Lytechinus pictus: one gene and its partner. The protein of the gene in region 1 purifies or fractionates together with the protein of each later gene. This does not show direct contact. Links are inferred from orthologs where the notes say so. Each region holds a gene or a part of one and is shown in the gene's direction. Other genes may lie near its edges. The genes, in order: ATP-dependent RNA helicase cgh-1-like and Y-box-binding protein 1-like.

Region 1 (16,873 bases):
ACATAATTATTCTGATAAAATGAGAGGACGAGGTGAGTCAGATTACCCCGGGGGGGCCACTTCCATTCACGAGTGGATACCATGCGCGACCATGGGGTCTCGAAAAGCACCCTAAACACGTAATTTCCATATTCTGAAAATGCACCCCTTAACAAGTATGGGCGTCTAAAACCCTACCCTTAACAAGTATTGGAAATAAAACGATACTCTTGGCAAATATTTCCTGAAATGAACCCCGAAACAAGTACAGGAATGTTTTATTGTTACGGGTCCTTCGGTCTTCGTCTTACCTTATTTGGTTTAGTACGACCCCACCTTCTACACCTCGCGTAAATCGGACTCTAAACACGAAGTGTTGGGGCAAAAAGGACATCCTTTATTAAACATTTTCATTTTGTTTTATCATCCCCGCAAATTCGACCCTAAACAAGTAATTTTCCTAGCGAAATAGATACCCTTTTTTCATTATTTTTTTGTTTTTGACACCCTTATCACGTTACGTACGTAACGTGCCCTATCGTGAAAAAGACATCCTTTTTACGTGTTTTTTTGGTCGCGCATGGTATCCACTCGTCAATGTAAGTGGCCCCCCCGGGCAGATTACTCATCTTCTTGATTTAAAGGGATGGTCCAGGCTGGAGATATTTATATCTCAATAAATAGAGTAAAATTCACAAAGCACAATTCTAAACATTTGATCAAAATCGGATAACAAATAACGAAGTTATTGGATTTAAAAGATTTGCATTATCCCGGTGAAACAGATTGATCTATATAGGCATGTCCTCATGAATATGCTTTACGTGGGCTGATGATGTCATATCCCCACTTGTTATTTTGTATTTTATATGAAATTAGGTTTATTCTAAAATTTTCTACCAAAACTAAAACAATTGGATTGACAACTGATTAAGTGCATTAGTTATTTATTGCCGCAACTTATTTCACCATAATGGAGACACATCGTTTACACATGTATGAAAATATGAAACAAATATGACATCATGTAATAACATAAGCAAAAAAAAGGAACTCGGTGGGGATGTGACATCATCAGCCCACCTAATGAATATTCATGACGATCGATGTGCATATAACTGTTTTCACAAAATATTGATAAACTTTAGAATTCAATAACTTTGTTGTTATCCGATTTTGATGAAATTTTCAGCATTTTGCTTTGTGATGAATTTTACTCTATTTATTTAGATATAAATATTTGGCAGCCGGACCATCCCTTTAATATTTGTGTGTGTGGGGGTGTGATGATAACCTGCGGGGGCTGTGTACAAATTAAAAAACATTAAAAAATTACCATATCTGACATGTGATTTTTAGGGCATGGTCAGACCCCCCCCCCCCCCTTCCCCCTCCACTTTCAAAACTGTTCCGAAGCCCCTGGATAAATTTAACCTTTGGAACAATCAAACATCAACAATATATACCTTCACTCCAGGAATTTTCGAAAGGGGGGGGGCACATTTTCCTGAGGAAAAATTTGACAAGCCCCCCCCCCCAAAAAAAAAAAAAAGGCTTAAACCAAAAATTAAGGGATTTTGTCCATGAAAAAAATTGACAAATAAGGTCTTCACTATCAAAAGGTCAAAAGGGGGCACTTCTGTTTTAACGGCATTTTTACATTATAAATTTTAATTGTGCCTCTCAAAAGTGGGACACGGGCCGGCTGTGCACCCCCCCCCCCCCCCCCGAATTCGCCAGTGCTTCATTTATTTATTTATTTTGTTTTGAACAAAGACTATAATCGCCTTTGGACACACACACACAATTAATACCGACAAACCGTTGCTGTGTGTGTGTGTTTGCCATTTATTATGCCCGATAGATTCTAAACAGCTCGTCCACGTATTATTCAACATAACAGTCGATCTGATCCGCACCCGTGGTATACACAGTCGTCGGGGTGTAGCGGCGGATCCGGTGCTATCATAATAGGCAGATGCGGTTAGGAACAATATCTGACGGCGGATCGTGCTCCAAGAGTCCAGCGTATTCAGAGCTTCACTGTTAAAAATATTTTAAACAACGCTGTTCACTATGTGAATCGCACAGTAGTTCAAACAGTTTAAACAAGTTTTTAAAATCTTAAACAATAATCATATATAAAAAATGCTTAAATTATTGATAATTAAATATTTGAATTGAAACTTTGTTGTTTAAGATTTTAAACACCTGTTTAAAATGTTTAAACAGTATATATAGGCCTACTGTGCGATTTACATACAGCAAACAGCGTTGTTTAAACTATTTTCAACAGTGTAATTTCATATTGTTCTTGCTATCGATTCTCGATCTGCATGCACACTGTACCCATTTCCTTCGAAATTATATAGGACCTATACCCGGCTTTTATTAACATATTTTAATAGGAAAATAAATAAAAAGAAAATCAAAGCGCAGCAATCCGGCAGAAATGGTTCTGAGTAAACCGAGTAAAGAACGATATCTGCCGTTAAGAACGATACCTGCCCATTACCTCACCTGGGTCGAGTGCAGCACACGGATGACTTTTTTGCTGAAGGAAATACGCCATGGCTGCATGGATTTGAACCCACGACCCTATGTTTCAAAGTCTGGAGACTAATCCACTAGGCCACGAGGCTCCACATCTTACTTAGTAATTGATGCGAGCGCGAAGCGCGAGATGAAAATTTTTTAATCTGACCTAAAATTTTGACATTCTATAAGCACTATTGGTAATCATGAACATGGTGGGTATCTATATAGTTTTATGCGAGTGCGAAGCGCGATCTTAATTTTTTTTTATATTCCGACCCAAAGTTTGACATTATTTTTATGCACTTTATCTAACGATGACTCGTCACCTTATCTATCTCAACATTTTATGCGAGCGTGAAGAGCGAGCTGACATTTTTTCCAACCCAAAGCTGGAAATTCTAAGCATGTTTTGTAACCATGAACAGGATGGGTATCTATTTAAACAATTATTGTGCGAGCGCAGAGCGCTAGCTAAAAATTATATTCTGACCTAAAATGTTGACATAAGCGCTTTCGGTGATCATGAACAGGATGGTCATTTAACTAATTAGCAATTGATGTGAGCGCGAGCTGATTTTTTTTTTATTTTCTACCTGCAAAATTTGGACATCCTAAACACTTTCTGCAGGGGCCGCGGAAGCGGGGGGGGGAGGGGGGCTTCAGCCCCCCTTTTTTCCAAAACCGTGTACAAAAAACGTAAAAATGACCATATGATTGTGATTTTTTGCATGGTCAGCACCCTACCCCAGCTTTTGGCCCCTGTTCTGTAATCATGAATAGGATGGGCATCTAATTAATCGATGCGAGCACGAAGCCGCGAACTAAAATTTTTTTATATTCCGACCCAAAACTTGTGATTCGTTCTAAGCAAATTTTTGGGACCATGAACAGCGGATGAATATCTATCTAAACAATATTATGTGAGCCGAAGCGCGAGCTGAAAATTTTGTATATTCTAAAATTGTAGATTTAAAATTTGGACATTCGAGTATGCATTTTTTAGTAATCTGAAATACGAGTGTAAAGTCCGAGACTTTTGGTTATAGAACTTTGGGGAAAAAATAATGGCACCAAAATTGTGGAACAATCTGCCTCATCAATTCTTCTACATGCATAAAGACTATATGGTATTATGCGTCTCTAAGAACTGCCTATTATTATTATTATTAATCATGAACAGGATGAGTATCTAACAAAACAGCTTATGTGAGCGCGAAGCGCGAGCTGAAAATTTTTGATCTATCGACCCAAAGTTGGACATTTTATTAAAGCATTATCTGACCACGATCGTCACCCTACTAAACAATAATTGATGGCGCCCCTATAGGTCGAACATCAATTCGACGCCCCTCGGTTGAACATCAATTCGGCGCCCCTAGGTCGAACATCAATTCGACGCCCCTCGGTTGAACATCAATTTGGCGCCCCTATAGGTCGAACATCAATTCGACGCCCCTCGGTTGAACATCAATTTGGCGCCCCCCCCCCTCCCCCTATCTCGAACATCGATTGGCGACAGTATAAGTATAACATAAATTCGGCCCCCCCCCCTTCTCTCTTCCTTTTTTTTTCCTTCTCTATATATATCTTTCCGTTTTTTTTTTCTTTTTCTTTTTTTCTTTCCCTCCTTTTTTCCTCCCCTGTTCTTTCCCTCTCTTTTCTTTTTCTTTTTGGCGCCCCCTTTTCGCCTACCGGGGGGGGGGGGGGCGAAGCGTGAGCGGAAAAAATTAACCCAAAAAGGGAGACACTCTATTCATATTTCATAAAACATGAAAAAGGTGGGTAATTGGGTATCTTCCTACGTTAATAATGCGAGCACGAAGCGCGAGTAGAAAATTTTTGATAATCTAATCTGAAACAGGATAATTTCACGCACGTTTTCGCTGCGTATCTCAATATTGTGCTCGTGTTTTAGATGTAGGCATAGAATCTGAGCATTCTACATGGGCCTACATTTCTTTTATTATGAAAATCAGGCGAGCGCGAAGCGCGAGCTAATCTCTTAGTACTTTTGTAAATATTTTTTTCATCAATTTTCCTGCCTTTGTACTTTGTTTTATTATGTTTGTTTCATATATACATGATATAGGCCCCTTTCACAAGCTTTGCTTCTATGCCGGGGCCCAAACCCTATCAAGTCTCTTGTTTGATTGCGGAAAGTGGGGATGTGACCTCCATACTCTAATCAATATTCATGATGACGTGCATATTTAAAATACAATATCTTCGCTATTCAGATTTTGATGAAAAAATTTCAGCATTTTGCTTTGTGACTCGTACGGATATTTCAGCACGGATTATCCCTTTAATTGAATTCCGAGTGTCTGATTTCAAAATATGACGATCGATATCTCCGGAAAACGATAACGCGTGAATTTATCAGAGCACATTAATAAATTCAAGTGACTGATGCATGGGTGTCGATCACGGGGGGGATGGGGGGGGATATATCCCCCCCAATATTTCAAGTGGGGGGTGGTCTGTATTATCATCCCCCCAATAATTTAGGGTAGAAAATTTATTATAATGATGATGATGAAAAAATGAAAAGTTTGATCATGATGATTATAGTGATGATTATAGTATGCCATCAATCAGTTTGTTTCCCTCGCAATTCGTGTATATTGTTATTAAATAAAAACATTCTTTTCTAGGACTTTTAAACAGATGGGTGGAGGTTCAAGATGAAAAAGAATGAAATATTTATGTATATATGATATTTTTTAACACATGACATAAAAGGACCCCGACGAAAAACAACTTTTGTTGATAGAGTGTTCCATCCCACCAGTGGTAATATGATCATATTTTTACAATTTTTTAAAAAATGAAATCAATTAATGGTTTCAGATAGAATAATCGTTCATTTCTCTCTAAAGCGTATCTTCGGATATGAACATCGGATGTTTTTTTTCCCATGATATTCTTGTTATTGTTATGGACTTGAATAACTAAACTTGATTGATTTTTTCTTTATTTTGGCAAAAAGAAATCTCTTTTGAGTTTGGAAAGGGATGACAGTTTTGCATTCTATATGAGCACACTCATGCGGTACGTAAATTTCATTTTAAAACATATATTAGCTGATATTACACACTGATGGTTCAAGAAAATGTTGGAGAAATATCATAACATGACAGTTGAGTTTTGATTGTTTTTATGTTTGTTTTTGTTCCATGCACTTATAAAGCATTTAAAACATGTTAAAATCCAGGGTTAAAATCGTCTAAGGAATGACGGTAAGCCCGATGGCGCACGAGAAGCCACACAGTTTGTAATTTGTGCTAGTCTTAATTTGTCCGAATCTGCATTTTATCATCATGCATTAAGAAGAAAAAAGATATTGCCAGTCGGGTTAGATTTAAGAGAGAAGTTGTATACATCATGTTCAATAAACAGATCACTTTGTACATGGTCCAGACAATTTTTGTCATTATTTCTTTCGTATGAGTTTAGAATAGGCTTACTTGTAACACAAATTGAATTTTCAAAAAAAAATTATATAAGTACAGTACACTGCAACAATGAAAGAATTTCCGAGAAATTACAGTGGCGTAACTACGGGGGGGGGGGGGGCATGGGGGGCACGTGCCCCCCCCCCCATCGGCTGGCAAAAAAAACGGGGAAGAGGAGAAAGGAAGAGAAACGTAGTGGGAATGAAGAAATTATTGTTTATTATAATGTTATATTATAATAATGTTATGTTATAATACATAAGAAACATTTTTTCATAACTTTATTTTGCTCAGGCCTAGATGTCTTCATTGTTCCCGGTACTCGCATTGTCTGTTTAAAGTCAATATACACCAAATATATTTCCTCGCACTTCGACTTATCATTGTTTTATGTAGTGACATATGGTTCTTTTTCATGACTACTTAAAGTGATTGCCCCATTTTAAGGTATTAATATAAAACATTTCCTGTCCGTGCTTACGTTCGCACTAGTAGATTGGTGAGATATGTCTGCTCTTCATGAATTCCTAAAAATCAGTCCTAAAAATGTCCCTTTTTCTGATCTGAATATCAAAAAATTTCAGCTCGCGCTTCGCGCTCGGATCATTTGTTTAGTGAAATACGTATCGTATGGTCTTAGTGAATTCTTACAAACAGGCCTTAGAATGCCTCTCTTCAGGTCTTAATATTCCAAATTTTCAGCTCGCGCTTCGCGCTCGCAATATTTGATGAGAGATGCGTATTATCATGATTACAATGACTGCAAAAAGTGCTTCATGTGTTTAGATGTAGCAAAATCAGCAATTAAGCGCTTTGCACTCGCATTAGATGACTATGGTGAGATATGTATACTCTTAATGGATTCCTAAAATATAGTCCTTAACATGTCCTTGTTTGGGGTCAATATTTACAACAATTTCAGCTCGCACTTCGCGCTTGCATTGTTTGTTTAGCGAGACAGGTATGTATAATTACAAAAATTTGCTTAAAATGTCCTTTTTTGGTCTGCATATCAAAAATTTTCAGCTCGCGCTTCGTGCTCGCATTAATTGAGCAGTGAGATACATATCCGTTTAATGGCACTGTCTTTAAAATGTACCTATTAGGTCAGTATACCTGGCAACTGAGCGCGCTTTGCGCGCTCAGTCACCAAGTGACTCAAAATTATGCTGGTGCCCGGCCCCAATGCCGTGACTCACGGTACACCACTAGCTGCAAGAACACCACTCCCAAATGTCCTAACTTGTGATTTTAGTGGGGGTAATGTTGAAAGATCCCCATCCACAAGAACATTTGTGTCCATCATCCCCCCCCAACCAAGAATACCGATCGACACCCATGGACTGATGTATGATATTGGGCGGGGAAAAGTATAGCGCTATATTTTATAGGACCTAACTTCAATTGGGATTAGGGCCTATAATTATATTCATTTTCATCGATCTTGCTAAATCTTTTTTATTATTTCTTTTATACTTTTTTTCATATAAAAAACAACAAAAACAATTTTTTTAAAGTCAATAGGCATATATATATATTATTTATACACAACCCAAAGATTATAAGGCATTTTCGAACCTTCTTTTACAGTCTGTTGCAGCGGGGGGGGGGGGGGGGGGAATAATAATCCGGCGAATTGACAAAGGACGAGCTGCCCGGATGCCATACACAAAAGAAGAAAACAGTCTACCGGTACCTGTTTTGTCTACGGTACTGCACTGCAGCACTAGCAAATACACTGTGGACAGAATTTCGTATGCGTATACACAGACGGCCATTTTGAACCTTCTTGTATTGTAAGTCGAACAACCCGTCTCTAGAAATCCGTCTTAATCTGTGTTGTTCTGAATATGCTACTTTTGAATGAAATGTTTTTCGAATGATGTGTTTTATACGATTCTGATATGTCACATTTTGGGCATTTTAAGTGTTGGCAAAGTGTATAATTTTGTTTGAGAATATGGGTTTGAGAATTCGGTCGTAGCGTACCAGGTAGTTCATACAGCGTCATAATATAGGCTAAAATTGTAAAATATGAGATTGAAACGTAATGGGATGATTGGAAAAGGACCCGCTGTGCCCTTCCCTGACAAAAACACTTCATCTTGCTTCTATGAAGTTGAAGTGGAATTAATCTTTATTCTCGGGATCTGCTAAAGGTCTTGTAGAGATTGTTGTTAATGTTGAGAATTTGGGACTTTTTATTTTAATTTTATTGATGTGACCTGATCAGACCGGGCAGAGCGAGATATTTTTTCAATTTTTTTTTCTGAAACATTTTTTATTCTAAAATTTCTTCTCACGATGTGAAATTTGCCTCAATTTTTGTTCAATAGGTCAATAATACGGCATGCCAATAATAATACGATTTTTTTAGCTGCAGCCGTCTGTTCTGAGACAGGAGTTTTTAAACATTTTTCATCAGTAGAGGCGCACGGCCAATATGGGAGACTCACTCCAATACTAGGCCTAGGGGAGACAATCTCCCACATTGGAGACTTGCTTTGCAAAAGGACAAAAGAAACAACTCCAACAAAAGCATGATTTTTTCCACCCAAAATTTTGTCTCACTGAGGTCAGAAGCCCATTTGTTTTGTGTGTGATTGACAACAAAAATCCTTATCAAAACAAAAGTAGACGGTGAATTTTTAAAGTAGACGGTGAAAAGGGGTAATTTTTCATGAGGAATCTGCTTATCACATTTTTATTTGCCGCCATTTAATCCTTTTGCAGCAAATGTAAACAAAGGAAATTGGACTCAGATTGTCAGAAACTGGAGACTGTCTCTGAAATTGGATAGGCCTACCCAAATTCTTTACCAAAGTCTCTGATATTTGGAGATAATCTCCCACATTGGAGACAGTCTCCAATATTGGCCATGCGCCTCTACTGTTCATGTAATAAAACTAATATTTTTAAATTTCTCCTCGACCTCGTAGACGTAGTCATACAGACGGCTCGCTATCGTGCAGCCACCATTAGGGGGTTAACAATGCGAAATCCCCCCCCCCCCCCCCCCCCGGCAGTGCTCATCGATTTTTGTCCTTATTTCATAATCATACAAAGAACTGTCAAACCAAAATAAAGATAATTCCGTTTTGGCCTAAAATGCACCAAAACGGGGAAAAATAAACTTAGGAAGTTAGGGCCTAGGCCTATATAAAAGGGGAAAAAACAGTGACTTCGGCTGTCACGCAAATTCACTTCCCTGTTTTATCCGACCTTAATACACAAACATATGGCCATTGAGTCCCTGTACAGATCGAGCTAGAACTTTGGCCTCTGTATTTTGGTGAGTGGAGCCAACGGAGTTCAGCGGAACAGCCAACATAACAGAGACTGAAGCTTTTGGGTCTAGGCCTATATTTTTCTAGGCTTCTAGCCTAAGTTCATGAAGTTTGATTTAAAACTTTTGACTTTTTGTTTGAGCTTCGTCTAAAATCTTCAAAATGTAAAGTTAGACTTTTGCATTGCACGTGCTAAAGTCGATCATATGTCGTGTCAGTGCGTTGGAGAGCTGATGATAAGTGCTGTACCACACGCGATTTTCAATCCGGAAGTTGCAGACTTTCGCTCAGATTACGGCGTACGCTCGGAGCTCCTGGCATGACTGGCCTGTTCGAATGAAGGCAACAATCACAACAACACGGTTGTGACGGAATTGATGTTGACCGTATTTATGTGCAAATTCAATGCAGTTTAGCGTTATCTTTGTTTCTTTTATGAGTTTTCATATGGAAGATGTGATCGTTTATTTGCAAGAAAACTTGGAACTTAACTGTGATTGCTTCATTTTTAGCACATCTCCTTGCGATCCTGTTTCTTAAGTCTGAGCTAAGCCTCTGGAAATGAGTTTTCAAAGGGGATATTGTGACTTTCCTGTGGTGAGTGAATGTGTTTGGTGTGGGTTGTGGTGATTGCCTTCTGGCTTGTGAAATGATACGTATCGTGGCACATGTTGAATAGGGCACGCTACTCATTCAATTTGATCAATTTTATTGGCAAAGTTAGACTGGATGATCATTTGCTGATGTGAGGTAAGCGACCCCAAATTCAACGTGCACCGAGACTCGACCGCCAAACTCAGTCTCACGAGCCAGCTCATTCAATCAACACAAACCTATGGCAGAATCGCAAATTAGATACTTGTCCGCACTTCACATGTGTGCTCTACCGCCACACCCCAAGAAAGTCTTGGTTTCAACTCCAAAATCTGCTCTTGGGCTGTGAAAAGCCAAATTCTATGCCATAAAAATTGCTGAATTTACGTCATTTTTCTAAAGCGCATGGTGGCTTACAGTATGTAGCTCAGCTCAGCTTGCTTGAAGGACAAGTCCACCCCAACAAAAAGTTGATTTTAATAAAAAGAAAAAATCCAACTAACATAACAAGTGCCCGAAATTTCATCAAAATCAGATGTAAAATAAGAAATTATGACATTTTAAAGTTTTGCTTAATTTCACAAAATAGTTGTATGCACATCCTTGTTGGTGTAAATGAGGAGACTCATGACGTCATCCACTCACTATTTCTTTTGTACTTCATTATATGAAATATTCAAATTTTCTCATTGTCAAGTGAAACAGCTATTAATTCCTCACGGAACATGTGGAATTAACATTATTAAATACGATATGGTTCAGTCAAGTTGGTCCTTGTCAAATCTATAAAAAATGAAATATTGTATAATTCAAACAATAAAAAACAAAACAAATACTGAGGGACATCATTGACTGTCTCATTTGCATTTTACTGAGTTGTGCATATCACTGTTTTATGAAAAATAAGCGAAACTTTAAAATGTCATTACTTTCTTATTTTACATCCAATTTTGATGAAATTTTCAGCGTTTTGGTAGTTTGATTTTTCTCTATTTATTCAAATCAACTTTTTTCTGGGGTTGACTTGACCTTTAAATTTAAGAAATGGGGTTGCAAAAAAGTGCTAGAAACAAAATAAAAATAGTGGTTTGATTCTGAGTTTGCAAACAATTTTTGTATCTTCAAGATGCCTTGTAAATCCAAACAAACTACAGAATAAGTCAACAGCATTGAATTCACAGATTCTAAATACACATGTATACCGTAATCAATTCTTCAGGGTTGCCTTCATTCGAAAGGGGTTTTGGGAGTGAATAGCTGCTGCATCTCCGTGCACCGCAATTCAGCTGCTCTTGCACACATTCACTTTTTAACGTGCGATGTGCCATGTCAAATCATGGCCGTTAAAATGAAACGTGGCAATACATCTCAATGCTCGTATTCTGATGGCAGGTTTGATTTAGACCACGGTCTAACTCAGCGAAAATTATGAGTAGCCAAAAATTCTGTTTATATTGTATATTTTGTATGTTTACTATTTTGTTTCCTTTATACTTCAAACTACTTCAGTTATCATTCCCAGACAATAATGGACAATTTGAGTGTCAAATAAGTTTAATGAATTGAATGTGTACTGTTAGGGAGTTGTGCCCCAATTGGCTATCCATAGTTAAACCACAACTTTAAAGCAGGGTTGAATTTAAATATGAGTTCAGAATTCAAGACTGAAGTTGAAAATGAACAATGCAATTAAAAATAGACAATTATATTGGTAGCATGTCAGGTGGTGGTCCAATTTCGTGAACAGGAAATAATGGTTTGGAGAGTAGAAATTAAATGCTAATCATGTGATGTTTATTCACTAAACCCTCCTTTGGTTTATTGAAAGTTTCTGTTCTCTCTATTTCATTTTACAGAGAAGCTGGTTTGATGGCATTCCTGCGATAGTCAGGATAGCGTTTGGACAACTTTACATTCTTTCCTTTGAACTTATGATTCTACCAGATTTATGCAAACGTCATTGAGCTATACACACATGTGAGTGAACGCTGCAAGCTTGAACAGTGATCTATCACCTTTATAGACTCTCCGCACGAGAAGTTCAAAACTTCTGCGGGTCCTTAGCCATTTGTATTGCTGCTTGATTCCTTCCTACCAAGCGGACAATCTGAATTTATAATTCAAATTCCTTGTGACGCCTCTCTGAGAGGCTTCATTGTTTATAGCAGAATATATTATTTGTAAAGGTCGTTTTATATATTAATGTATATTTGTATATTTGCCAAAGATAATTTTTTCCCATTTTGTATGGGCAAAGTTGAATGGCACTAACTTGCCTTTTTTTGTGAACCTGTACTACTACATTTCTGACAAGTTATCTCAGGAATTATCTTATCTTTAACTGAAATGTTCGTATGGACACCTGATGCAATTTTCATTGATGATTATTAAAGAGACGTAATACAAGGAAAGTCTAAAATCACCCATCGATAAGGGTGGAACTTGGAAGAATTTGCAAAAAGGGAGAACAAATACTGTGAAAAAAGACACTGTTTGCCATGGCAACGGCACCACCACAACTCAACCGCATGATGAACAACAATCACGGGGCAAGGAGCCCGAACAGAGGGCAGAACAACGACTCCAGGAGGGGCGATGGTCACCAAGGAAATCACCAAGGGCGGGGAGACAGGAATGGCCCACATCACAGAGACGGCCCAGGAGGTTACCACAGAGACGGGCATTACGGAGGGTACAGGGGAAGCGGGGGCTATGGCGGGAGACAGTATTCAAGACAAAAGGATTTCGAGAGGCCAGCACCAAAAGCAGCTGCACCAGTACCCAAGCCGACACCGATAGACATGGAGTAAGTACTGTTTCACCTACTCTCGTCATTCAGGGATAATTATGGTCGTTGTGTTCGGAACAAACATTTTTTAATTGTTGCTTTATTGGCTAACTTGTACTTTTGGGGAAGGAAGCGTATATGTGGAAATTAACTGTTATTTCACAACAATTTGTGTTTGATTTCGTACAAAAGTACTTGGCCACTGAAATCCAGTTGTTTCAGTGATGGTGTGCTTAGCTGCTATTGCTATCGCTAGCGACACTTCCGAGGGGGGGGGGATGTAAGTTCACATAGAAGGTCTACAAGTTGTTCCTACATATGGGCTATTCCACGGTTACCCACGTTACATTTGGAGACACCTTGACTCATACTTGGAGCTGTAACTCCATTATTATTGATAGGAACTAAACATCTCTTATCACAACATAGTACGCACTCTGACTATCCTTTGTATAAAAACAAAACTTGGGAAATTTCATTATGCTCCTGGCAAATCTTTGAAATGTGTCGGTTACTCATGTTAGATGATTTGGACATAAATGAAATGAAAAGTGGACATAAGTGAAAAGTGTCCTCATACAAGGCTTTTATGAAAGTTGATTATATCCATTTCAAAGAATATATAAAGTATATAAGGGAGACAAATTTGTATATAATTCAAAAAATAAAGAACACATGGTTTTTACTAGGGTGCAGATAAAGTGGTTACTCACGTTACGGTTCAGATGGGCTTTATGTACAAAGACACATTGAGCTCATGTCCACCAACCTATGGAATTGCCCATATGTAAAGTGTAATCCTCCTACTCATGTAATGTAGCTTTTTTTGCAGCTAATTACAAGATTCCAAAGTCAGTTTATCAGGGTAGGAAATAATTTTTACTTTTAATGGCTATCTTTTTTCCACATTGGGGCGATTGCAGATCTTGGGGGGACTCTAAGATAGATTGTCACCCCAAAGCATGCATTTTGGGGGAATTTTAGGGGCAATTTGGGCTGTCATGAGGCTGTAATCGCACGTCGCCCTCATGTATTTTCTATGCTACGGTTTATCAAAGGATGCTGGATCTTCAATAAAAACGTTTATGTGAAGAAGTGTTTCATTTTGTTTCATGTTTTCTAATTATTCATTTCACAGTGATCCAGACTGGAAAGAAAAATTAGCAATCCCAGAAAAGGATAGAAGAATTAGAACAACAGTAAGTATGGGATTTGAAAATGAGAAATTATCTTGTATTTTCAATTTTATTATTATTTTTTTTTGGGGGGGTAATTTTAAAGACGTTTATTTACATGTATATCTTTGAGTAAACAATTTACGTTTTTGTTCAGATAATTCGAATTAGAGGTCTGTCTATTGAATTTCGATAGATAATTTCCACATGTAACTGTAGTAGGGCACCTTACCATTAGTCAAACGTCGAATCTTGAGCTTGATGAATGCACTTAGCATTTATCACAGCAATTTTTTTTTTCAAATCCATTGATTTATCTTTGATTAAATGTGAAGATAGTGATGGAAAGATGCTTTCTTGCAGGAAAGAGGCAGCGCTTACTTTTAATAAGGTTTTTACAAGGGCACTGTAAGGAAGTGTCATTGATTAGTTACCATGATACAAGAAGTTCCATTCATGACGGAGGTACAGTCTCAGGCGATCAGACTGTTACACGTTTTTATGTCAGGTTCTTGATATTGCCATTGATCTGTGTGTTGTATCCTCCAACAGGACGTCACAAATACCAAAGGAAATGAGTTTGAGGATTATTGCCTCTCTCGCCCTCTATTGATGGGCATCTTTGAGAAAGGATGGGAGAAGCCATCGCCGATTCAAGAAGAGAGCATACCGATCGCCTTGACCGGACGGGACATCATGGCTAGGGCCAAGAACGGGACAGGAAAGACTGGTGCTTATACTATACCCCTCCTGGAAAAGACAAACCCAGACAACAATTTCATTCAAGGTCAGTCGATGAATACAAGGAGACCTGTGTCCCATTTCATAAAGACTTGTAACAAATATCTGTAACAAATTTACTATCAGCCAATCAGATGGAAGGAGTTCATTAGCTTTTAACTTCGCTCGACTGGTGACCCTTTCTCGTGCTAAGCATTATATTCCTATGTAGCGGCCTATAGCTCCTAAGAACAGGTCCCCGTCGTACGTAAAGACGCTGAGAACTTGCAAACAATCTCTATGAAATGCCCATCTTCATATATCTAAATTAAAACCATTTCTGCATGTATTTAATAGTTACAAAGTTGTTTTGAATCATGGAATTAAAAGAGCTCTTAGCAAGCACAGTTAAATATATAAAAGCTGTATTATACAAATTATGGTTGTTTATATTATTAAATGAATTCATAGATCTTGATCATAGGAATATTTCACAGTGTTAGTTTGATCTGAAAAGAGAAAGATCAATTGAATTTGCTTATTTCATTAGCTTAGATTTCGAACAGTATATGATTTAAAAAAAGTGATAATGTGCAATAATTTTGTAGCACTTAGTTCAATGTTTCTAAGCACTGCATAAGAACGGCTTCCCTGATCAGGTGGTCAATCATTCAAAGTATCCCTATGCATACATATCTATTCAGTTAAGTGGCAAATGTAGATAAATGCCTTGTCAAACTGACTGATAATTAGTTTATGAAACCAAGCCTACCTGGGGGGTGTTTCACAAAGATTTAAGTATGACTTAGAGTCGCACTTAAATGTCTATTTGCGCGCGGTATAAAAGGCATGACAGCATTGGTCAGATCATGCCAAGAAGACGCGCACTACTGCGTATTGTCCAATAAGATTGCGCGTTGCATATCATGTGCGCATTGGCATTTAAGTGCGACTTAAGTCATACTTAATCTTTGTGAAACACCCCCCTGGATTGCCCCAGTGTTGCTGATCACTGTGTATGTCAGTGATATCAGTGTCAGAGTGGGCATAGAGTAATCCCCTTGTACGTCCTGTTTTCACTGGAAGTCCTGATATTCGGATGAAGGATTGAGAGGGTACAGTTCATGAGATGGCATGATTATACAATGTATGTACGCCTGTTAGTTAAAATATGTGATTTCATGTCCTGGGGCCTGTTTCATAAAGGACTTGCAACTGTTGTAACTTTGCCATTATGGCAGCTACCATGGCAACCTTGATTCTGATTGGCTGCTGAGCCCTGTTACCATGGCAGTTGCCATAATGGCACAGTTACAACAGTTGCAAGTCCTTTATGAAACAGGCCCCTGTACTTGTGCTGGTACTGGGGTTTGAAGCACAGTTTGAATCCAGCTATCACTCGCCATTTACTAATTTCAGAATATGTTCAATCTGTTCCTATCCTACAGCTTTAGTCCTAGTACCAACGAGAGAGCTGGCTCTCCAGACCAGTCAGATCTGTAAGCAGCTATCAAAGCATACAGGACACAATGTCATGGTCACAACGGGTGGTACTAGTCTCAGAGACGACATTCTCAGACTCGAAGATCCTGGTAGGTACAACCTTCCTCTATTTGTTACCCCTATTTTTTTCCTGTAATTGGAGTTGTTATCAAGACCTTAAAGGTCGATGTGACTGACCGTAATCATTTTTCCAGGTGGGCAGCTGAATTTTAAAGAAAATACTTAGCCAAAAAATGTGATTGAATACCAAAGATGATTAAGTATTTTACCTAAGCAAAATACTGAATATGATACTTAACCCTATCTAGGCCGGGGGGGGGGGGGGGGGGCCTCCGAGGCCCCCCCCCCCCCTTCAACGAGTCGCGCAATATTTTCACCGCGCAAATTTTTTTGGCCGCGCTGCTCGCTGACTTTTTACTTTCAAGTCTTGCGCAACTTTTGAGACCAATTTTGTGTCACCCGGGTACGCGGTTCCGAAATTACGCAACGTTATGTAAGTGCATGTCAGACCAAAAATTGCTCAAAAACGTGATTTCGTGTACAAAGTCAATGTAAATTGTGTTTTCAACCAAAAATCATAAATGTATCATTATTTTTTGTTTTGCTGGTCTAAATCTATGTATTTTATGCTGTTTATGATCTTAGAAGAGTTCCCAACGAATTTCATTGAAAAAACAATGAAAAACAAAGGGTCCAAAAAACAATGAAATACATAAGAAATTGCAAAAAACAATATAATACATAAGAAATTGATCTGATATCACAATTTTTTTCATGTAAACTTGCTAAGAACACCACAAAGAGTTTCTATGCCAAAATTTAGAACATTTGGAG
Region 2 (16,199 bases), on another chromosome or scaffold:
GGTTTTGATGAAATTTTCAGTGTTGTGCTTGTTGGATTTTTCTCTTTTTATTCAAATTTGATGGGGTGGACTTGTCCTTTAATCACAGCAAGACAATTGAATTCCGTTGATGAGGGTATTAGAAACGCAAGAGACGTCTTCTTTTGATTCAAATTTGATGAGATATCTAAAAGTTCGCGCTTTTCTTTTGATTTAGATTTGATGAGATATCTAAAACTTCGCTCCCCCTCCCTGCACCCCCCCCCCCCAGGGAGCGCCCTTCGCGTGCACTTACCGCCACCTCCAAAATTAAATCCTGGCTATAGGCCTAGCTACGCGGTTGGGAGCTATTTTAGTGTTTCAGGTGAAGAATTAAATGTTTGCTTTTGTCATGTTTGTAGTTGTTTTGTTTTGATAACACCGCACTCCAGCTACAAAGTATAGACAGGCCTATACAGCTGGGGGCCTCCAAAGGAAAGGTTATTTGAAAAAAAATTATCAAACAGAGTCGGATCACATGTCCAATACGGGGTATACGGGTCCCCAATCATGCCAATTGTCATGGCGCTTGGCTATAGCTGGATATCACGGGCGTAAATCCGGGGGGGGGGGGGGCTCATGGGGGGGGGGGTATCCCCCACTCTTCGGAGAGGGGGGAGGTGGCATGTACAATCATTCCACCCACTTTTATAGACAGAAACGATATTTTTTCAATCATCAATGATTACATTGTTAATGCGTGGATTCATCTTAAAATGCGATCGAAATGCTTAATTTGCCCAATTTCTCGTGCGGTCGCTCGATTCCCGCGCTCATTCTAATCTTTCCAGAATTTGGCCATGACAAATCCCTACGTTAAATAGCATATATTGATATTGCAAACGGTATCCCAGCATGCATCCTGAGAGTATGGTTCGTCCATGTATGAATTGTATGATACAAAATTAATGACCTTTAAATGGTTGATCACCAATCAAAACATCCTTTGAATACATTGGCGTGAATGCATATGTGTGTGTGTGTGGGGGGGGGGGGTGTAATTACTCTCCTTGTATCTTTGTGGAAGCGGCCGGGGATAATTTGTACAAAAAATATACATGTACCATGTATACAGATATACTCTATACTTCAAGTTAAGTGCACGATGAGTTACTGATGACCGACCAAATCAATACCGTTATAATGAAACACAGATGCAAGTATAAGGGCAGCAATATTTCCCACACACTTTACAATTTACAATCCGTTTATAGGAGATCTAAAATCACACGTTTTATTAATTTCATAACAATCTGATGAATATCTATTTATGAATTTAGTTTCAAATTTTGAATGTTGCATCATTCAAAATCTTTCCTTTCTGCAATATTTTTTCTTTAATTTGCATTATTGTGCTATTTCCAATAGGGCCTACTAGTAATTTTACAAAAAAATCGTAAATTTATAGGATTTTTGTATACCTTTTAAAAACAGACGACACAATGATTTAACAAACCAAACGTAATTATGCAGTAATATGTAACGTAGAAAGTAAATAAGTTCATGGACCTGGGAAGCGGGGGTGCTGAGGCACCCCCAAGATTTTCCCAGGGGGTGCTGCGTGTATTATTTTCCATAGGCAGCACCCCCTGGAATTCTGGTTGGTGTGTCACATGGGAGAAATGTATGGAAAATGACCAACATCTTGTGTTGAAACCATTTTTTTTTTGGCTTATCAAATTTGTTGGCAACAAAACAACCTTCATTGTTTAGTGAAACCTGTTTTGCTTGTCAAATTTACATAGGCGGATCCATGGGCCTAAGGGGCCCGGGACTCCCTATTGGCGGAGCAAAACAAAAAGGGGGAAGGCATTAAAAAAAAAGGAAAGAAGGGAAAAGAGAGGAGAAAATTAGAGGATGAAGAAGAGTGAATAAAAATAAGGTGAGGGGACGATTTAATGAAATAAAAAACCTTTCAAGTCACTATAAAGTTTTCGCTTGCGCTTCGCGTTCGCATTGCATGTTTGATGAGATAGGCCTACATGAGATTCTTCCTCAATAGGCTGATAAAGTGATACGGAGCTTCACATATCAAGTTTGAAGTCAATATACAAAACACATTTTAGCTCCAACATCGAGCTTTCATTATTTTGTTTGATTTATAAATTGATTTTCAAAAAGTGCTCACATTATTGATTTAGGATACCCAATTACCCACTCTTTTCATGATTTACAAAACATAAATAGAGTGACCCATTTTAGGTATAAATCACATTTTTCCCCCGCTCAAGCTTCGCGCTCGCATTGTTTATTTATATCCTATCCTGCGCATGATTATAAAATATGCTTAAAATTTACATTATTTTTAGGTCGGAATTTCATAAATTTTCAGCTCGCGCTTAGCGCTCGCTTTATTTGATTATTGAATATGTATCGCTTTATGGCTAACTAAAACAGTCCTCAACAAGTCTCTCTTCGATCAGTTATATACGGATTTTGTTCATGATCACAAAATTTGCCCAGAATGTTCGATTTTCAGGACAAGATACATGAAATTTCCAAAAGAAATAGCTCGCACTTTTTAAATATGGCTTATTAGATTACCTTGTTTTATAAGAACAAAGCAAATTAGTGACTGTTACGAAGAAACAAACAGAAATCATCTTTGAGTGGCTGATCGGGGAAAATATGGGTGAATTGTTTTTCGCCCCCCCCCCTTATTGGCGAAAGCTGTATCCGCCCCTGAATTTAGGCCTACTTCAGCACCCCCAGCCAAAAAATCGGTCCCAGGGCCCTGAATAAGTAAAATGTAAAACAAAGTAAAATAATTATAATTTGTAAAAATACCAACGAACTATACTAATATCGCGTTTTTACGTTGATTGCAGTCACTAGCGTACCTACGGGGGGGGGGGGGGGGCAGAGGGGGCAGTCTGCCCCCCCCTGACGAGCCACAACCCATGCAAAGGACGTATCCCTGCCCCCCCCCCCTGACGAGCTTGAAGGCCTTTATTGCCCCCCTGACGAGCTGGAAGACCCTTTTTTTTTTTTTTTTTTTTTTTGCTTGTCAATTTTTTTTCTGGTACGAAATCCTTCATTTGTGATTGAAGACCTTTTTTTGTGTGTGTGGTTTTTTTTCTGGTACGAAATCCTTCATTTGTGATTGAAGACCTTTTTTTTTTTGCTTGTCAAATTTTTTTCTGGTACGAAATCCTTCATTTGTGATTGAAGACCTTTCTTTTTTCTTTTTTTTTTTTTGCTTGTCAAATTTTTTGGCGGACGGTTTTGCCCCCCCTGTGAAAAATTCCAGGTACGCCACTGATTGCAGTGCATCCATCGTCGTATTTGTAAATTAACGGCAATTTTCGTGTTAAATGAATGTTAAAATTGTGGGGTTTGTTAACAGTTATCCAGTTTTTAACAGTTCATACTGTTTGTGAGTCCCAGCTGCCAGTAATAATTACTGTTTTTTTTTTTTACAGTTTTATATGAACAGTGCACCTTTTGGGGTTTTTATTCTTCCATGGTCAGCCCTTCTACTCCTGATTTTCAAAACCGTTCCGCGGCCCCTGATTCTGATTTTCGAGGGATGAACACAAAATAGGGCCTATTGCCTCGAATTTGCGAAACCCAGAAAATCTCGAAATTTCAATTTTCCTCCTTCGCTGCTATACAGTAACTCAGCAAGAAATTAAGATTTGAGCAGCAAGATGACTGGCCGTTAAAATATCATATTCCTTGACGTACAGATTGGGGTGCCATGGATTCCCCCAAATTTTTACTGCCCAAAAAAAGAGAAAAGTAAGGAAAAGGAAAGAGTGAAGAGTGAAATAATTATTAATTTATGAATATAATGTCAAATTCTATCACAAAATTTGAGTTTTGTAGTTAAAAATGTCTCAATTTTTGCTCACTCTCTTCTCTCCCTCGCAACTGTTTTTTCTTTTCTGGCCCTCTCAAAATTTTCGGCTCATCGCGCCACTGATCATAACATATAATTTTTATCGCGTGTTCAATTTTCTATTAATTTTTCTCAATCCATCTGTTTCTAACAATTTTGAAAGGAATGTTAACAAAGTCCGGTAAAAACACGATGGTCATCAGGCTTAGAAATCAATACATACCATCATCATGATCATTTTCCCCCCTCCTTATCATCATGATCATACTTGTCATCATGGGCGGAAATCCCAGGGGGGACAGGGGGGACGTGTCCCCCCTACCCAAAATAGTAGGGGGGACACAATATCAAATGTCCCCCCTACTATTTTCGGTTTAATTACGATGGAAAGAAAGAAATTGAAATAAAACATGTATTTTGGACGAAATGACCTTACTTATTGGGTGGTAACCTTTTTTTTTTTTTGCTTGTCAAATTTTCCAGCCCCTGGTCCCCCCCTACCTTTCGAGACAGATTTCCGCCCTTGCTTGTCATGATGTTCGACCGTAAATTATAAATGGGGGGGGGGGCGGGAATGATAACACAGGCCACCCTATATATACCTAAATCAATGGGGGAATATATTCCCCATCACCCCCCCCCCATAAGGGTTAGAATTCAAATTACCATCTCTTCCGAATATTCCTCTTTGTAATCCAGCACTTGGTCAAACTGCCACAGAAATAATATTTTCTTTTTTTTGCTAGAGACGGAGCGAATAATAAAATGGAATATTAAAGGGATTGTCCGGGCTGAAAATATTTATATATAAATAAATAGAGTAAAATTCACAAAGCAAAATGCTGAAACTTCTTTCATCAAAATCGGATAACAAATAACAAAGTTATTGAATTTTAATGTTTATAAATATTTTGTGAAAACAGTTATATGCACATCGTCATGAATATTCATTGGGTGGGCTAATGATGTCACATCCCCACTTTCCTTTTTCTTATGTTATTACATGAAATCATAAATGTTTCATTTTTTTCATACATGTGTTAATAATGTGTCTCCGTTATGATGAAGTAAGTTGTGGCAATAAATAACTAATACACTTAATCAGTTGTCAATCCAATTGTTTTAGCTCTTGGTAGACAATTTTTGAATAAACCTAATTTCATATAATAAAATACAAAAGAACAAGTGGGGATATGACATCATCAGCCCATGCACCTAATGAATATTCATGACGACATGCCTAGAACTGTTTCACCGGAATAATGCAAATCTTTAAGATTCAATAACTTTGTTATTTGTTATCCGATTTTGATCAAATTTTCAGCATTTTGCTTCGTGAAGTTTACTCTATTGAGATAGAAATATCTCCAGCCTGAAAGATCCCTTTAATTTCTCTGGTCAGAACGTGGATATAGTGCTTCAGCACTCTGGATCGCTGGATTGCGACTTTGCACTCCATCTTTCAACCAATATTGAAAGCGACTAAACGGGGGGGGGGGGGGGGGTTCAAGGGAGAATAACCCTCTCGCACGTATCATGGCCTATATCAAGATTTCAAGACCATTTTGCATGTGTATTTTGCTCAGTAAGACTGACTATAGGAACCAATCAGAATTGTTCTTTCAAATTTGCGATTAATCACTATTAACCTCTTTTGTTCCGGGGCCGCTTTTGAACAGGACAGAAACGAGACACTCTCTGAAAATGTCAAACATGTCAAAATCGGACAAGTTTCTACAAAATTATTACACATCTTTTTCCCCACTTATTGTTTTGTATTTTATTGATATGAAATTATATATACAGTATTGTCTTTAAGAAGAAAAATTGCTACTTTAGGGACTTAATTTGTGTAAGAAATAGAGTATAAAAGTCGCGGTTATAGAGAATAATTATAACAACAATTTTATTGGGAATTAATTATAAACATAGTTCTAGTTAAAATTCACTGCGAATGACTAAAATCGTAACTGAATTACATACGCGAAGAGCGCGGCCCTAATCTGGCAAAAGGGTCTATCTGCTCATTCGCCCTCGAAAAACTTTCTGAGATAATCAGCTTTGAAGTTTGAGCATTTAATTTACTTGTAGAATACTTGAGAGTTAATTTTAGCTGGTGGACTCTATTCTATCACTTAGTTTATCTTTGAAAAATTATTTTTAGTCCCTTTTTATTATTTTAATCCCTTTACTTTTCTTGTAAGATCCAATTTAATGCAGATAGACCCTTTTGCCAGATTAATCTCGGGAGCAAAGACAGTGATATTTATCTGGCAAAAGGGTCTATCTGCACATAGACCCTATAAAAATTGGCTGTAATCTGGCAAAAGGGTCTATCTGCACATAGACCTTTTTGCCAGATTAAATGATGGCAGATAATATGTTTATTTTATCAGGCAAACGGGGTGTATCTGCAGATACACCCTGTTGTTAGATATACAGAGGGAAATTGTGATAATTTAACCAGGCAGAAAGGTATATCTGCACGGTTGGTAAACTATTATAATATTGGACAGGCTGCGCAGGACTCTCAACTTCATGGTCTACAACCACTTGGTTTACTATCCATTTTGTCCAAAACCATTTGGTCTACTAGGCGTTTGGTCCATAACCAATTGGTCTACTAGGCATTTGTTACAAAACCATTTGGTCTACTAGGCGTTTGGTCCACAACCATTTGGTCTACTAGGCATTTGTTACAAAACCATTTGGTCTACTAGGCGTTTGGTCCACAACCATTTGGTCTACTAGGCGTTGTTACAAAACTATTTGGTCTAATAGGCGTTTGGTCCACAACCATTTAGTCTACTAGGCGATTGATCCACAAGCATTTGGTCTACTAGGTGTTTGGTCCATAAGCATTTGGTCTACTAGACGTTGTTACAAAACCACTGGTCTACTAGGCGTTTGGTCCACAAGTATTTGGTATACTAGGCGTTTAGTCCACGACCATTCGGTCTACTAGGCGTTTGGTCCACAAGCATTTGGTCTTTTTACTTGGCGTTTGGTCCGTAACTAATTGGTCTAAGTAGGCATTTGGTCCACAGCCATTTGGTCTACCAGGCATTTTACAAAAACCATTTGATCTACTAGGCGTTTATAACTAATTGACTTTGTTCTGAAAGCAATTGGTTGGATGCACAGGGTGTCTTAGCGATTGGAAAATTTAAAACCTAACCCCCCCAACAAAAAAATACATAAATAAATAAATAAGATAATAATAATAATGACACCATCCAAGATTTTACACTTAATTGGGTAGGATATTCTAATCAATTATAAAGTTGGGCATAACAATATTTTTTTTTAAATTTTATCCATCTTATAAGATCTTCATTAGTTATAACCAATTGTATTTTGATTTCTCTTTCTCACACATGCCACAGACTGACGAAGAGTTTTACTTTGCCTTTCATGCATTCTTTAAGAGCTATCTGTTTTCTTCTTAAATCTATGATTTTATTTTTTATATGGCAGTCTAACATTTACCAATTGTGTTTTTTCATTTCTATTTTTTGCCTTTTTCTCCTCTCTCCCTTGCTCTCCTTTACTTTTTCTCTACTCTTCTTCTTTCGTGCTATCCATCCCTTCCTTTCTTAAATCTGTATTCACCTTTTGCAATTTTCTGCGGCATTGCACTTTGACATATAGAAGTAGTGTGGGGAGCTTATTTCAAATATTGCTGGCCCTCAGCGATCTGATCCCCTGAGTCAGGGTTATACAGGCGTAATTACAACTGGCAGGCCAAAGATATTCATTTGAGCAAACCCATTCTAAATTTTTAATTTTGATATTGCTGATTGACAAAAATGAATGAATATGATTGATAATCTTACACTGATTCTAGGGAGGGTAACTTTACTGAACTTGCTTTTCTCAAATTGGGATGATATATCACCACTTTGGAACTATTTTTATACTGGCGGAAGAAGTATTGCCATTTTACTGTCTCAAGCCATGAATTTGATCCTGTCAGGTGTAGTCTTCATAAATGTGTTTTAATAGAACCCTTGTAGGATTATGACATCATTGACATCTGGACTAATGCCTTATATACTTTGGCGCAAGTCAAAATTTCACTGCAAAGAATACCTAGGACCTACTAATAATCATCCAAGCATAAAGGCCTAGGCCTACCACATAAATGTGGTACATGTATCAAGTAAATTCGGGAGAAGATATTCTTTCAGAAATTATGGGCTCATGTTATATTTTTCCTTAAATTGGGTATTTGTGAAGAGTCAAGTTCTTTTTTTTTTTTACTCACACGGTACGTAAAGTAATATTATGCGCGTCATTGCAGAGACGATTTTTTTTTTTCAGTCACTACTTGAACATATTTAGAAAAGAAAACTGCATTCATTGTTTGTTTTTGTCTTAGACATGTTAAATATTAATTGGATATTTTTAACCTTTATTGGGGCCGGGGGCATCATGCCCCGGCCGACCGCTCCCCCCTCTCCCGAACACAGAAAAGCAGAATTTTGAAAATAGAAGAGTTATGGAATTCCGCTTCTATGAGAAACAGGTAAGGGAAACGGATGATACTCCGCCATTTATAATCAAGGAAAGATATATCTAGGGGGCGGGGGCGTTATCAGACAAGTTGTCAGATCCGACAACTTTCCTTGATTTTGATTGGCTGAGAACCGGGGCTGAGAAGTGAGAAGCATTGTTACTATGGTGACTTCATGAAGATAAAACAATAGAGAAAAGGTTATTGATGAAAATGTTGGAAGAGATGGAGTGTTTGATGAAAGGACTTGTCGGATGTTTTATCCGACAGTTACCATAGTAACAGTGCTTTCCAGCCAATCCAAACCAAGAAAATATGTCAGACAGGACTAAAATGTTGATGAAACGCTCGTTGGGCGTGTCTCTTTTCTCTTCCCACAATGCCGCAGTCGAGGTTACGTGCGTTAGCTTTGAGATGTTCTTCCGGTATCTCATCAGCACAAAGAAGACCGTTGTGCGAATGAGACGGAATTTTTCGACCTGAGAAAAACATCATCCAGGAAAATGTCCGAGGGCCAAGAAGACCAGCCCCAGACCAACGAGGCTCCAGAGAAGATCGTTCTGGGTATGTTGATAAAGTTTGGTTGTATTTTGTGAACGGAAATGTGGAGTAATAATTAGTTAAATTTGGGCTTGTTATGAGGAGTCGTTAGTCGTGCAGTCACTTCACACGAAGTCGCGTCACGCTATAGCATGTGCAGTGCATTGCCATTATTGGCATTGCACACGTGCACATGCCTGCGTGGCGTGGCAAATCTCGGAGACTAGGTGAGTCCAAACTCCAAACTTCGCGGATGGTCATTATCTTAAAAACTAGCCAATATCCTTAAAATCTGACATTAACGTGAAGAGCTACCTAATATTACCCTTTGATGTAAGTTTCTTTAGGATGAGTTCAGTATTCATGAAAATATTGACCAAAAAAAATCGGCGTTCAGAAGAAATCTGAAAAATTCTCAACATTCAATTTCAACAAGTATCACGATCATCATTTTGCAAGCAGAATAGCAGATATCATAGCAGATATCAAAAATGTAAGTTTAATGTGGTACTGATTGATTCTATAAGACTATAGCATTTTGGGAAATAGTTCCATATGCACCCCCCACCAAAACAAAAGATTGTTGAGACTTCCGAAGTTCCGGTTCGTTCACTTCAGATTTTTCTATCAGTATCATTTTTTTACTGTTGCTTACATGTACCTTAGTTGGGACTCGAACTCACCTCGTTTGATCTGCAGTCAAGACCTTTCCCGCTATGCTAGCGAGAAGCGCTGATACCGGAAAGGGTATTTTTACGATTATAAGCCGATAAGGTGATAGGTCGACTAGTCTTGACTCGCAGACCCTTTGCTTTAGGCTTTACTGACTAAATAAAGCGATGTCTCTGGACAATGAATTACACGCACAAGATCTCGCTCGAAATTTGACGGAATAAAGCCATATTTTGGTATGTATTTCCACTTCCCCATCATATATGTTCGATATTACTAGGGCTAGATATATTATTCTGAACCTTCTCCATGTTTTTATTTTCAATTTTAGTGGGGGGTGCATATGGAACTCTTACCGCATTTTGCCGTCAGTTTGATAATGATATAAACATCTCAATTTTTGTTTTGAGCTTTTTGTTTAAATCTCCACAAAAACTTTGGTCCACGAAGTTAGGTCACACTTGCTCTTTTTTTTAACAGATTTCCAGCACTGGCAGTGACACTGACAGCGCAGTTGTTGATCGGAATAGAATTTTGAGATCGCGAAACCCCTTGACCTACTTCACATTTTCGTCAGTTTTATAGTAAACAATCTTGCCGCGTATGCCGCTGCCGTCACTTTGATAGCTAATATTTGAATTGGATTTTGATTAAAATTATGAAATTGATGATTTTGTTTGACCGATCGGGCCACCAAGAAAAAAAGTTAGCCTTGGGCTAATTTTTGTAATAACAAAGCGAAGTACCATCAGTTCTGATATGATGGATTAAAATAGTTTGTGCATAGTAGTAGTTACAGGCTGGAAAAAACATTATGCAGCCACACACTGGCAGAGTTACTCTAGGAAAAGAAGAAATTTAATATAGGAAATAACATGATACATATGGTAGAAGAAAAAGGACAGGTAAAATAAAAATTGAAATAAAGAGAGAGAGAGAGATAAATAACTTTACAAGAGAGAGAAAGAGAGAACATATAAGAAAAGGGGGATAGTATTATTAAGTAGGCTAATGCCCCAAAATGGAAATTAGACGTCTAGACCAAGGCCAAGTAAAAAAAGAAAGTAGTTGATCGTCCTCGCGCGCATCTATTTTGGCCGCCGCATGAATTTTTTTACTATTTACTATTTTCAAAAATTGGCTTCCCTTTTTGATTGCAGCATCAATTTTCTTGATATTTACTATTTTTATGGCTGCTGAATAGCGAAAAAATTCACAAGATTGGCAAGCGATTTGCTCTTATGTGCTCTGGGATCTCTCGCAACTTCATAAAACAATTGCAAAGTCCGATATAGCCGTAACTGCAAGAAAAAAAAATTCTGATTTGGTTTTTTATTGGAATTTTGAAGAAACAATCATAAATTAGCAAGAAAATAAAGTTTGCAAACTTGGAAAATATCACAGATTTCTTCATTTTTAGTGCATTTTCGGGGACCCCGCTTCCTGAATCTGAACTAATCCGTCGCGTGCTTTGGAAATAAGGCGCAGATAAATCAATTTTAATGACTTAATTTGTATTTCAGCAGGGTTTTTTGGTGAGTGATAGCACCTGTACTTTGATGTGTGTTGCGGCATGGTTGCAGTGATTGACTGCTGGGTGTGCATGTCTGCTGCAGTGATGTGATTGACTCCTGGCACGACATGTGAATTTGTGAAATGAATTGAATTTTCTGGCGAGTTTTCTAACGTCAGCAGGCAATGCATTGAATATTAAAAAAATATTTCCATTTCAAGTGAGTTATTCATTATCAAGATTGAAGATCATTAATAGGATTCCAGTAAGTGCCAATTCTGTTCAAATTTGATAAACTTCATTCTTCCTTGAGCTATTCAATTTGATGGACAATTGTAAAAATTAGTTAGTAAATAGATCTAACACTAAATATTGAAATAATAAACATGTGAACAATTAACAATTAATTCAATAATCATTTAACATTTGATTAAAAAAAAAAGAATAACAATTTAATAAACAGTATATTGTAAACAAATATACGGCAGCTGGAAACTGCGATGCGAAACCATGCCCAGAGCTGAAAAAGAGATTGGCTCTGGAAAACTGAACAAGGCTTCCATGGTAATAAAATGAACCCCTCAATGCATTTTTTACCCTTACATATATATATTAATATAGAATAATGTTTAAATCATTCACTTGACATGAACATTTTGTTTTACAACAATACAGTACCGGTATACATCAGTAATACATCAATAGATTTTTATTGCAATATACATTTCCATAGATTTCCAATCAATTGTATATATCTATATATATATATTATGCATATAATATGTGTGTGTTTCTACTCATTTATTAATATTGAGCATACATCGATCACATAATTCGAGCTTGACATGGCCTGACAATCATTTGAATAAAAAATAGCAAAAAATAGTAAATAGTAAGGACCTCCCTCATCACTGATGTCAAAAAACGGGCGGAGAAAATGTCTCCTTGTTTTAAAAAAAAATAGAACGATAGCAAATAGTAAGGACCTCATCACTGCTCTCAAAAATCCCGGACGATCAACTACTATCTTTTTTTCTTGGCCTAATAATAATAATAATAACATTTCATTTACCCTGGGTAGCCACTTCAATCATAAGACTTCTCTTCCAGCGGGCCCTGCATAACATAACATGTTATTATTACCCTTCTCCAATCTAAATGCTGAGCGCCAAGCAAGAAGGAAGAAGTCTTTAGTATGACTCGACCGGGGATTGAACCCACGACCTCCCGTTCATGAGGCAGATGCTCTACCACTGCGCCACCATACCCAGTTATAAAGCTTGAATAAGGGAGAAAGAGAAAAGAGAATGGGAAGGAAACAAACTGATCATAGTGTAGTAGGTTTCACGGAACACCATGTATCTTTCTTGAGCGAATGTTGGTCCTAAATATTGTGCCTGTTTTGTATTATAATCATGGTAAATTTGCCATGAAATTGGCCATGCCCAATTACCCATCCCTAAAGTTCTGCCAAATTACCCATTTACTCACAAAAATGTCATAGTACTAGATCTGCAAAAATCACCAATCATTTCCCTATTTGCACATCTTTATCTCTGTCTTAGCCACAAAAGTTTCCGGAACAGTCAAGTGGTTCAACGTCAAGAATGGCTATGGATTTATCAATCGGTAAGGCTCTCTTTGTCATTCATCTATTGTTTAGCTAAGCTTGTAAATGTCAGTTTTGTTAAATGTGAATTTTCTTATAAGGGCTGGATCCAAGATACAAGGGCGGGGGCACCAACATTCTTTTTTTTTTTTGGGGGGGGAGGATGGTTGACAAATTAGTAACATATATCACTGTAGAGTTTGTCACAATTCTGATAAAAATCCACAAAGAAGGAGTTCATCACTTCAGAATCAGATAAAATTTAAACAGAATTACAAACTTCCAATCAGGGGCCTCTTTTTGCTTGATAAGAGGAGGGGGAGTACAAAGGAGGGCACTGCATACCACTGTTATTTGTCTACTGAAATCCATGTTAAACCCCCATTTCACAGAGAACAAGACCGCTGAAAGACCTTTCAAAGACCATGAATTCTGGTTGATCTTTCAGAGGTCTCTCAATGAACCTACAATGGTCTTTGAGGTCTTACACGAGTCCTGACCAGTTTCAGTGGTCTTCGTGGTCTTCATGGGCTCCAAAACTTTTTGTGTAAACGGTTGAAAACAGTCTTACAACGGTCTTACAGGAAAATGGTCTTTCAGAGGTCTTTCAGCAGTCTTTCAGTGGTCTTTCAATGAACTTTCAAAGGTCTTAATAGTCTTTAAATGACCTTTTGGCAGTCTCTCAAGATTTTTGTGGAGATCACTGTTAGACTCATGAGAGATCATTGAAAGATCATTCAAAGATCACTGAAAGACCAGGCAAAGTCCATGAAAATAATTCTGAAAGATCACTTGTTGCATAAAAGATCTCTATAGGACAAGTCTAAGACCAGTAAGACAAGAAATATCCATCAGTCTTTCAGAGTTCTTTGAGGGGTCTTTATGAGTCATTCCCCAGAGATGACAAATTTCAGTGATCTTGAAGACCGCTGTAAGACCTCACCAATTTTAAGTCTTTCAATGGTCTCCGTTCTGTGGAATGGGGGCCTTACAGGTTGAATTTCTGTCCAAAATGATCTGAATTTAGTGAAGATAGTTTTTTTTTGTCATATGTCTTATCTTTTATCTCTCTCTCTTGTACAGAGATGACACAAAGGAAGATGTATTCGTCCATCAAGTGAGTATTTTCTGCTTTTCATCTACAAATGAATGAATTACAGAGGTGTTATTGGGTCAGTTTCACAGTCACTATGGCTCAGCTCTGTGTTACTTGAACAGTTGGTTTGAGATATTATTTTTTCTTTTATGGCTACTCAATCCTATTTTTATTTATCATATTTTTGAAAGACAACAATGATGTGGGGGCTGTTCCAGAAAGCTGTTCGTAAGTTAAGAGTGACTTTAAGAACGGCTGGTGATCCTTTTCCTCGTAAATGATATTCACCATTAAATTATCATTGGTGATTATGTAGCATGTAAGAAAGGTTCACCAGTCGTTCATGAAGTCACTCGTAACTTATGAACAGCTTTATGAAACACCCACCTGAACTAAGCTTGTATTTGATGAGGATATGAATATTAAAAAAAAGAGTGATTTGAGCAAATAATTCAGAAAAATCTGAGGTTTTCTAAATTGTAGTACATTTGAAATAAAATGCAGTCTTTAACATTTAAAATGAGCCTTTGGAACTTCCAATCAGTCAGTTATTGCACATTGATGCATGAACTCTATGAGAGAGGCTGATAAATTTTGTCAAGTTCATTTTAAGAACAGGAAATATATGAAGGTTTCTGCTTTACTTTTATAAATGGGATTTTTAAAAATCGACAATAACTAGACAAGATCTCGGCAGCAATTGGTGATCGGAACTGGCACAGAACACAGGCTTGTCAAAGCACAAGTCACAACAACAATATTAATTGAACAATTCCCTCATATGTTAATGCATTGTGTGTCTCGTGTGAATCTTGTTTGTTTTTACAGTCAGCCATTGTAAGAAACAACCCACGCAAGTACCAGCGAAGTGTTGGTGATGGTGAAGTGGTAGAGTTTGACGTTGTAGAAGGAACCAAGGTAAGAGAGATTACTGCTTCAGTTATAAATTCAACAAAGACACCGTTCTCACTACCTTCCTAAAACTAGTTTACTGGAAACTAGTTGATCATGTAATGAGAATGCTCAAAGCAATCTTGGAAGCTATCTTCCAAACCGGTTCATAAAACCACCTTGCGATGTAGTTTTCAAGATCGCTTTGCCTCGTTAAACTGGTTTTAGCGTAAGTGAAGACACAAACAAGCGATCTTCGCACATTTTGAGCACGCTACTCCGCACACTGTAGAATGTCTACACTGCGGTTTCAAAGTTCGCGTAAAACATGTCACCCCACTGTGAGTGTTCCCGTAGCAACAAGATCGCTTTACGTAAAGTAAAGCAATCTTCCAAACTGGTTTCCTGAACCGGTTTCCAGTAAACTACTTTTAGAAAGTATAATGAGAACGGTGGCATAAATGCCAGTAGTCGTAACAAACTAAAAATGAGCTTGAACAGAATCCAATAATAGTCATCCCAATTGTGTATATGTACTAGGATTACAGAAAAATGAATGTATGCACCAAACAGAGCTGCCAAATAGTACGATTTTGTCGTATTCCATACGATTTTTCACTTAAAATACGACACTAGGATTTTTACAAATAAAATACGATTTTTTGAAAATATAGCTATGGTAAGATCGACATTACAGAAATCCACCTCGGGCAATCATTATTGAAAAATGTTAAGTTTTGGTGGCCCGAATCGAGCAACCAATAATTTTCAAAGTAGCGCAATTTTTCTCCCAATTTTGCACCATTTATCAACTTTATACAGTTCAAATTGCAACCAATTCGTCATGCGCCCTTTTTGTTGATCTACACACAAATACACACACACATGACAGTACATAGGCTTACCGCTCTAGCATACAGTAGCTATTATCCAGCCGGCCGGTTGGCGTGCGTGAGCTTTGCATGAAACCACTGCAGCTACATGTAGCTATCTGTGCGCTATCAGCCTATTCAGACTCGGGGAGCTACGATACGAAATGTTGCTGCTAAGATATCTTCCACAGAACTTTGAAAATCTATTTGCAAGCATTAAAAACAGGAATTTTGACCTCTCTTTTGACTCAAAAAGACCGATTTCCAAATGTATTAGTACACATAAAAACACATAGGTGAGTACATCACAGTCCCATATGTGCATTTGTATGTATGCTGATACTTGGTTTCTTTCGAAGCTGTGTCTTTTCTAGCAAAAAATAAGCAGACAGTTTTTTGTCTCACCTGCATAGCAGAGTGAGACTATAGGCGCCGCTTTTCCGACGGCGGCGGCGACGGCGGCGGTGGCGTCAACACCAAATCTTAACCTGAGGTTAAGTTTTTGAAATGACAGCATAACTTAGAAAGTATATGGACCTAGTTCATGAAACTTATACATAAGGTTAATCAAGTATCACTGAACATCCTGCATGAGTTTCATGTCACATGACCAAGGTCAAAGGTCATTTAG

What was found.
Region 2: the proteins of ATP-dependent RNA helicase cgh-1-like (region 1) and Y-box-binding protein 1-like purify together in Drosophila melanogaster (affinity purification with western blotting; 3 studies listed by BioGRID, with this or other methods). This does not show direct contact. The link is inferred for Lytechinus pictus from reciprocal best matches to the Drosophila melanogaster genes me31B and yps.

The regions. Positions count from the first base shown.
Region 1 is NC_087252.1:4,877,684-4,894,556, reverse strand, and holds the start of ATP-dependent RNA helicase cgh-1-like, read left to right. Parts: upstream 1-7,485; 5' UTR 7,486-7,768; intron 7,769-11,709; 5' UTR 11,710-12,351; coding exon 12,352-12,659; intron 12,660-13,779; coding exon 13,780-13,840; intron 13,841-14,368; coding exon 14,369-14,603; intron 14,604-15,984; coding exon 15,985-16,128; intron 16,129-16,873. UniProt on the Drosophila melanogaster protein: ATP-dependent RNA helicase which is a core component of a variety of ribonucleoprotein complexes (RNPs) that play critical roles in translational repression and mRNA decapping during embryogenesis, oogenesis, neurogenesis and neurotransmission.
Region 2 is NC_087258.1:26,260,079-26,276,277, reverse strand, and holds the start of Y-box-binding protein 1-like, read left to right. Parts: upstream 1-8,753; 5' UTR 8,754-8,878; coding exon 8,879-8,939; intron 8,940-12,665; coding exon 12,666-12,729; intron 12,730-13,792; coding exon 13,793-13,826; intron 13,827-14,633; coding exon 14,634-14,723; intron 14,724-16,199.